Linked DNA regions of Yarrowia lipolytica. The protein of the gene in region 1 interacts with the protein of each later gene in a pairwise test. Links are inferred from orthologs where the notes say so. Each region holds a gene or a part of one and is shown on either strand. Other genes may lie near its edges. The genes, in order: YALI1_E01649g and YALI1_A11415g.

Region 1 (3,590 bases):
TTCCTGACACAATCCAGCCGAACGCGCCCTGAACTCCTCGGTTGAGGTGCTCAATGTTCACCTTATCAACTCTCAGACGAGATACCTTCTTCCAGGTTTTGTCTTCGTTGAGTTGCGAAGAAGGCACTCCGTGAATCTGCCGAGGGTGGATGGTGAACAGGGAGTTGTCATACGATCCACTCAGGTTGTTGGCAGATAGTAGATCGTAGAACAACCAGTGCTTTCGGAGCTGGGGCAACTCCATGTTGAACACAGATACGTTGAAGGGCTTGTCTCTGCCCGGCTGATGCAGAGACACCAGCGCGTCTTCGAGCTTGAAGTTTTCAATCTCAAAATCGCCGGTCTTATGTACGTTTCGATTGTTTCGAGGGTCCTGGTTGCGTTTCCATCGTAGATGGTTCCGATCAACCACTCCTCGAATTCCCTTAACCTCAACCTCCTTGAGGATACCCTTTCCTGACATGTATTTCGAAAACGACAGGGTCACATCCACTGTCTCGATGGTCAGGTCAAATTGTGTGTAGTTGCCGTCATCGTCCGGCGGAGCCGATGACAAGCTGCCATACTGCTTCTCACCAGCTAGGGCAGCAGCCTCCCCTTGGCTACCCTTTCGGGCCTTGTGTCCGCCTCCAGGCCTTCGGGACACGAAAACGTTGCGAAACTGGATGACGCCACCCTTCCAATGGGGCACAATTGCCTCCTCAAAGACGACAGACATGCCGGTCTGTCGTGAGACAATGTTTCCGATCTTGGATGCGATCCATTCCTGTGCGAACACGGTGTTCATGGTGAAGAGCACCAACGAGAAGAAGGTGGTGGTACCCAGCACGATCCACACAATGTTACCGACCATGAACCACGAAAGAAATGCAGAAATGTCGTCCATGTTGGTGGGTCGGTCCTGGCGGAAGAGCGCCCACTTGAACCGCACTCGCATTCGATTGTAGAAGCCCGTGGCAGTCGACAGCATTTCCTCCTTGGTGGGTCTCTTCCATCTTGGCTTGTCTTCTGGCTTTGTGTCTGTGACTGAGTCTGTATCTGTGACGGTCTTTTCGCCCTCGCTCTTGCTGCCCAGCTCCTTTGCAGCATTGTGCAGGTTCTCACTGGACTTGCGCACGTTTCGTGACGTTTCCTCCAGTTCAGCCCTCACGCCACTTGTAGAGTGAAACGAATGCCGCAGAGAATACCACGGTGTCACAGGGAGAGTGGTAGGGTGTGTAAGAAAGGGTCGAGGGGACAGGGTCGTAAGTTTCAACCAACTACTCCGTTGAGAGGGCAAGGCAAGCCGTCTAGTACAGAGTCTGGAAACTCTGTGTAGTGTTGCCATTATTGAGCATAGTGTTGAACTAGCTGGGACTGTTGTATTTGTGTAGACGACGGTAGTTGAATGGGGCGGTCAGTCCTAGCAAATAGGTCAACTTGAATTTTGAGACGTTGTCGTTTCTGTGGGGAAGTACAGTGCAATGAGAAGAGAGCCCGAGTGTAATGTCTTTCCTTCGTTGCTCATGTTCCCTCTGCGCCTGCATATTGGCTTAAAGCTTATAAGATTTTTACACCAAGAAACTGGCATGCTGAGGCTGGCACGCAAGCGTAATTGGCAAACTATATTTTGTGGCGTTGGGTGCAATATTGGGTAAGTATTAATTGGGGTTATTGATGAGCAATTAGTTGGGGGTCTGGATCCGTAGTGAGACATCTCTTTCAATCTAGCTACTGTACGAAATATCTGCAACCCGTATAGAAGTGAGTCAGTGGGCAACCGTATATAAGTGGGTCAGATGTCTATGCTTGCTAATAAATTTATTTGCTCTCATCGACTACTCCCATTCACGCCAATTAATTGTCTCTTCCCAACCATTATTACCAGTTGGACACGCTATGAGCTATCTTGGTTCCCGTAAGCCCTTCACATAGCGCTTGCATCGTGCCCAGCCATTAATTAGAGTTGCAGTCACTGGCCAAAAATTTAATTTGGAAAAAATCCGTTTCTCATGCAGCCTGATTTCTCACTCTGTTAACGATCCGTTACAACCACAAAAACTGATAAAAACATGGGTGCCCCAACGGCAAAGAGACAGACACAGGCCACCGAGCCCACCACAGACGCTCCCGTCGCCATCCCCCAAACTGAGGGTGCTGAGGAGGACGAGGTCATGATCTCCATGGACGGACCTCGAGAAGACATTGCCGTGCTCCAGGAGAAGGATGACGACGCCGAGATGACTCTCGACCAGGACGGAAAGCCCCGATTTGCATCTGCCGTCAACGCCGGCGAGGGCGTCAAGCCTGGCCGAATGAAGGTGCCTATTCCTCCTCATCGAATGGCTCCTCTCAAGAACGAGTGGATGAAGATCTACCCTCCTCTGGTTGAGCAGCTCAAGCTGCAGGTACGAATGAACCCCCGAAAGAAGCAGCTTGAGCTGCGAACATGCTCAAATACCGTCGACAACTCGGCTCTGCAGAAGGGAACCGATTTCGTGCGAGCATTCACTCTGGGTTTTGACGTGGACGATGCTATGGCTATCATTCGACTGGATGAGCTGTACGTCGAGACATTCGAGATCAAGGACGTCAAGACTCTTCAGGGAGACCATCTGGGACGAGCCATTGGCCGAATCGCCGGTAAGGACGGTAAGACCAAGTTTGCCATTGAGAACGCATCGAGAACCCGAGTAGTGCTGGCCGACTCCAAGATCCACATTCTCGGCGGCTTCACCAACATCAAAATCGCACGGGAGGCTATTGTTTCTCTCATTCTGGGTAGTCCTCCTGGAAAGGTGTACGGAAACCTGCGTATTGTTGCTTCTCGAATGAAGGAACGCTTTTAGTCATGCATAACTTATTAGTATATTGGAGGGACATACAAACATACATAACAAAAACATTTGATAGATTATGAATGTGTGTACTTTGTACAAGATGGATCTGCCAACTTTTAGAGCCCATCACCTTACCTGTTGTAGTCGCGTACTATTCGGGTACGAACTATACGTTAGCGAGACTAACACGCTACTCATAGATAAATCTGTTGACTCAAATGTTGAGACGTTGAACTATATGTACGCGTATCAGTTACAAATAGATGGATACGATATCTTTCCTATCCACTCTGTAAGCTACAAGTACGATAGTCTCATACACGTGGGTCATCGTAAACTAATAATATCTATTTCAATTTTGTAATCTAATCATCCGAAGACCCCTTGCTTACTCATCCTCCTCCTCGTCATCAAAAGCCTGACCAATAACGTCGTTAGAGTGGTTACTGCTCTTGATGTCGAATGCTTCTCGAACGGCCTTGGTTCCGAACATGTCCCACACCTTGAGCTCACCTCCATGGCCACCGGCACAAAGAGTACCGGCGCAGGCCTGGTCGGGGTTGAAACCCACAGAGAAGACCTTACCGCAAGAGAGGTCTCGGTTGGCCACCATGGAAAGAGAGTACTTGTCGTCCTTGTTGGTTTCTCGCCAGATCTTGACCTCTCGGGTAGAAGCAGAGGAGGTGACAATAGCTCCATCAATGTACTTGTTGTAGTCAAAAGCAGACAGGGGAGAGTCGTGAGCCTGCAGAGTCCACAGAGGCTTGGACT
Region 2 (4,573 bases), on another chromosome or scaffold:
CGAGTTCCATATGAGAGACAGAAAAGCCAAGAAGACTGTTAAGAACGGTATTCAATCTGCTCTAAAGATCCACAACTCGACTCCCAGGTCCCATACTGCGGTTTCAAAGCCCACAAGTAGGGGTGGGTTCCAGAGAAGCATCTCCAGAAGCCGGGAACGGCATTCTCGAGAAAAAAAGATCGACGTGGAGTTCAGAACCAAGTCTTTGGGACATGGGAGCCGGGAGTTGCTTGTGATGTCTCGTTCGAAGTTGGATTCGACTCATGTTAGATGGAGACTGATTAGCGATATAGATGAAAAATTTAGAGAATAAAATAGAAGAAAGGATTTTTATTTGGTATTTAAACAATGTTTGGATGAATTGGAAGACGTAAATACCCGATTTGAGCCATTCGGGCAATAAAATTCAAACTGGAGTTTATATTGAAAGTTCACTTTCTTGAGATATATTGCGGATTTAGCTCAGTTGGGAGAGCGCCAGACTGAAGTAATTCTCAGTCTTGAAATCTGGAGGTCCTGTGTTCGATCCACAGAATTCGCAATTCTTTTTGGGACCAGCAGGCATTCAGAGAATGGCCTCTTTTTGCTCCTCGCTCTGCTCTATGTGCCACATTTGTCGCCACGTACGAGTTCTCATTGTTCAAATTGTCTTATTTTTCCGTCTATCTAAGTCTATAGATTACCGTCTGGTTTTTCCACTTCGCACATCTCGCTCCACCACCTCGGCAACACCGCCAATCTCCTCAAAGTGGTCCTCCATGACTCGCACCTCCTCTCGTCGCTCCCAGAACCGGTCCTCGGCCAGATCGAACGCGACCTTCTTGAGATCCTTTCCGCGGGCCTCTCGGTCGGCCGAAAGGGCCCACTCCAGGAACTTGTCTGCAGTTCGCACGTAGAAGGCTCGAAGGACCTCAAACGGCTTGGGATGAGGCAGCCAGGGTCGGGGATCGGGAATGGTTTCGTTGGAAACCTCCTCTTCTTCTTCCTCCTCCTCGCCGTCGTCTTCCTCCACACCCTCAGCGTCGTCGTCGTCTTCTTCAAACTCGTCGTCCTCATCCTCCTCGTCATCCTCCTCGTCAGAGTCAACGTCCGCCTCCTCAAGCTCCCGCAGGTCTTCCCAGAACACCTTCACGCCGTCCAGCTTGTTGAGATCAATGCCATAGAAGGTGTCCAAAGTGAACTCCCGGTCCCCTCGTTCCCATGAGCCTCCAAACACGTAAAGAACGTCGTCACAGACGGTCATGGAAGCATTGAACCGAGGATGAGGCAGTTGGTTGGCAATAGGATACTCCTTCTGCACCACCTCCTCTCCATCGGAGTCCTTGAGAGTCTCCTCCTCCTCCTCAACCGCAGGAGTCTCACCGTCCTCACCCAGATCCAGCTTGTCCTTGAAAATGCTGTCAAGAGTGGCCTTGAGATCGTCGTCTCGGCTGATTTGGGCCCGTTCCAATGCAGCCTTTCGCTTCTTGGCACTTCGCAGAGACAGACCAAACCACCGGTTACTTTCAATCTGGTAGGCGTACAGCTGGTTGTAAAAAGTGGAGTCCAGACTCTCCTCGGTCTCGTCGGTGTCAAACACTCCTCCAAACATGACTCCTCGACCTCGATGGTGCACCAGAGAAGCACCAACTCGAGGAGAAGGCGCGTACTGTCCCTTCTTACGTCTCTCCCACCGAGAAGCCTTAATATCGGCCTTCATCTTAAGATGCCACACATCCTGATGCACCTTGCCGACAACGGCCTTCTTGCCCTTGTGCTTGACCTTGGAGTATCCTCCAAAAATGACGGGACCCTCGGGACTGGGCACAAACGAGTGGCCCGATCGAGCGTCGGGAGTCTGGTGGTTGGGAGGGAACTCGATCTGAGTCCACTTGTAGGTGGTGACGTCAAAAGCCCACAGATCATCCAGATACGTGGTGGACTGCGACAAGTCTCGGAAACCGCCGTGCAGCAAGATGTAGTTCTTCCAGTACGTCAGTCTGTGTCCGGATCGGGCGCTGGGGCCCTTCTTCTGGTCCAGTTTGCTCCATTCTCGGGTTTCGGCGTCAAACAGCCATGTGTCTCCGTAATGGTAAAAGGTGTTTTGTTTGGGTGACGAAAACTCTCCTCCAAACATGAGAATGATTCCACTGGGGTGCGTGATCATCTGGTGGCCGGACCGGGGCAGTGGGGAGTTACCAGACTCAATCTTCTTCCACTGATCCGTGTTGATGTTGTACGAGTACAAGTCGTTGAAGAAGGCACATGTTCCCGAGTGGTTCGACACCTCTCCACCAAACAAAAACAGCTCCTTCTTGCCGTGAACCGGCGAAGTGCACATGGAGCAACTGACCCGCTTGCTCGGCCGCTCCACGTTGGTAATTGTCACCTTATCGTGCGCTTCCTGCTCCTTCTTGTAGTTGGCGAGAATCTCGTCAATGTCCATGTCGTCCTCGTCTTCGCCCTGCTTGGCCGCCACCTTCTTCTGTTTCTTCTCGCCCTTGGCGGCGTTTTTCTTGGCCTTTTCCGCCGCTCGCAGCTTCTTGGCCTCCTTGTCCTTCTTCTTGTCCTTGGCCATGTTGATGTTGGATCAGATTGTGCGAAAAATAAAATTATCTATAGGTGAAACTTATTTCTTTTTTTATTTCATGCGCCAGTTTGCCGGTGAAACTGTGGTTGAAAAACGTAACAAGGCTTCAAGAGACATTTCTCGACAGCTGAATCGATCAACTACCAAAAAAACTGCTAAATGAGGGAAAAAAAAAGAAAAAGTAATTGCGAATTCTGTGGATCGAACACAGGACCTCCAGATTACTCTGACCGAAGAATGACTTCAGTCTGGCGCTCTCCCAACTGAGCTAAATCCGCGTGATTGTTGTTAGAAAAAATGGACTTTCATCATGATCCGAAGAATGTCAAAAAGCTGCCGCAATGGCAAAATGGAGCCTCTAGACGGATTATCTGGTCATAAGTATGGGGTCTACCACTTGAAATATTTGAGATATTAGAAAAATCAAGTTTCAACTGCCGCCTTTGTCATCCTTTATCTGTAGGGAGCTAATCTAAGACTCTCTTTCTCCATTCCAAAGAAGGACTGATTTCCAGTGCGATCTCTTGGGCCGATTTGGGCATGAATTTTCACTCACATTACACCGTATTTACAACTTGTCCACTCCGCTCTCATGAAGCAGAGCCCAGCATGTCAGAACCATAGAGGAAGTTTGGAGGTTCCAAAGACTTGGATCTAAACCAAGCAAATTCCACCATTACCCACTTTATGGCATCACCGGAATTAACAACTCTTACCTTTTGACATTTCTCTGGAAGAAGCTGGCTCTACGACGACACGCCAACATTTGGCTACTGTTATTCCAGAGCTTGCTCGTCTTCTGATGGCTTCAGCAAGTTCTGTCGTACTCAGGACAAGATGCCAAGTTCCAATGCTGCTGTGTGAGAGATAACAATTGCCGTCATATTGCTATTCTGGAACCCATCGTGTCTGGAATTGACCCGACCGGCGTCCCAAGTATAGAAGACCGTAAGTATGGTTGATGACTTACAACTCACTTGTAGGGACACTATGTTCCGATAATAGTACACACCAGAAGGATGTGTGTTTGCTCATTCACCAGAAGAGATTTAGTACATCAGTGGAATACTATCTACAGGATGGACATCTCGTCTATGATCAAGCTGGTCCCCCTCTCATCTTCACCACAAGAGAATCAAGGAGTTGGTCCAGTCACGGTAGATACATCTAACACTCTGAAGGAACGGCCATAGTTCCATTGAGTACAAATATACAACTGTGAATAGCTGTTACAGCTCCATTGAGTACAAATATACAACCGGGAATAGCAAATATTGCTTCAAAGAGCTAAATGAGCAAGCATAACATGCGACTATCTGTTCTCTGGACATTGCGGGCAATCTTGTTGAAGCCGTACAAGGACTCATTTTTATGCTTATCTGAAGACTTGGAAGGAGCCCAGTGGCCACTCCAATCGTCGGGCACATCGTGACAGTCGCATGGTTGAATGATATCTCCATATCAGACAGTGATAATAGGGCCTTGCCTGAAGTCCTCACTCTGTCGGTTCTGCAATCTCATCCAGTCACGTCACCAAGGTGTGTCTCACAGTAGACCCAAGGTGTGTCTCAAAACAGTCTGCTGAGATTCCATCCATACAGACCGCATAAACACATGTCTCAAAAATAGTTCCTTTTAAGAACCCCTCGCTATATATCGTACTCTAAGCCGTGTCTATATCTCATTGTATTCCCCGGAAGAGCCCGAAAGAGCCAGAAATTATTTTCTTAGGTCGAGGAACCCATATCGCCCGCACAGCTGTTCAAAAGACGGATTTTTAGAAACAAACGCCCGAGAGACCATTTCCAACCACGTATCGACCCACCGCTCTTCTCCAACTAGTCGTAAATCAATCACAGGCACGTCATCTCGTATATCGGCGTTTCGTAAATGCCGATCCGAGAGCTACGTGTTTTAGAGTTTGGCGCGGCTGAAACCGACAAATAACTTTTCGTCTGTTAGTCTTAAAGGCGCACAAAGAGAGAATCTAAACTCGGCAATAGT

Evidence for each region.
Region 2: the proteins of YALI1_E01649g (region 1) and YALI1_A11415g interact in a protein complementation assay, tested with the Saccharomyces cerevisiae proteins (2 studies listed by BioGRID). The link is inferred for Yarrowia lipolytica from reciprocal best matches to the Saccharomyces cerevisiae genes PNO1 and KEL3.

Annotation. Positions count from the first base shown.
Region 1 is NC_090774.1:163,453-167,042, reverse strand, and holds YALI1_E01649g (uncharacterized protein), read left to right. Parts: upstream 1-2,051; coding exon 2,052-2,828; downstream 2,829-3,590. Other genes in the region: YALI1_E01657g (uncharacterized protein), read right to left, coding at 1-1,327; YALI1_E01623g (uncharacterized protein), read right to left, coding at 3,208-3,590. UniProt on the Saccharomyces cerevisiae protein: Required for small ribosomal subunit (SSU) synthesis. Has a role in the processing of early nucleolar and late cytoplasmic pre-RNA species. Recruits DIM1 to nucleolar pre-RNAs.
Region 2 is NC_090770.1:1,138,991-1,143,563, forward strand, and holds YALI1_A11415g (uncharacterized protein), read right to left. Parts: upstream 2,558-4,573; coding exon 680-2,557; downstream 1-679.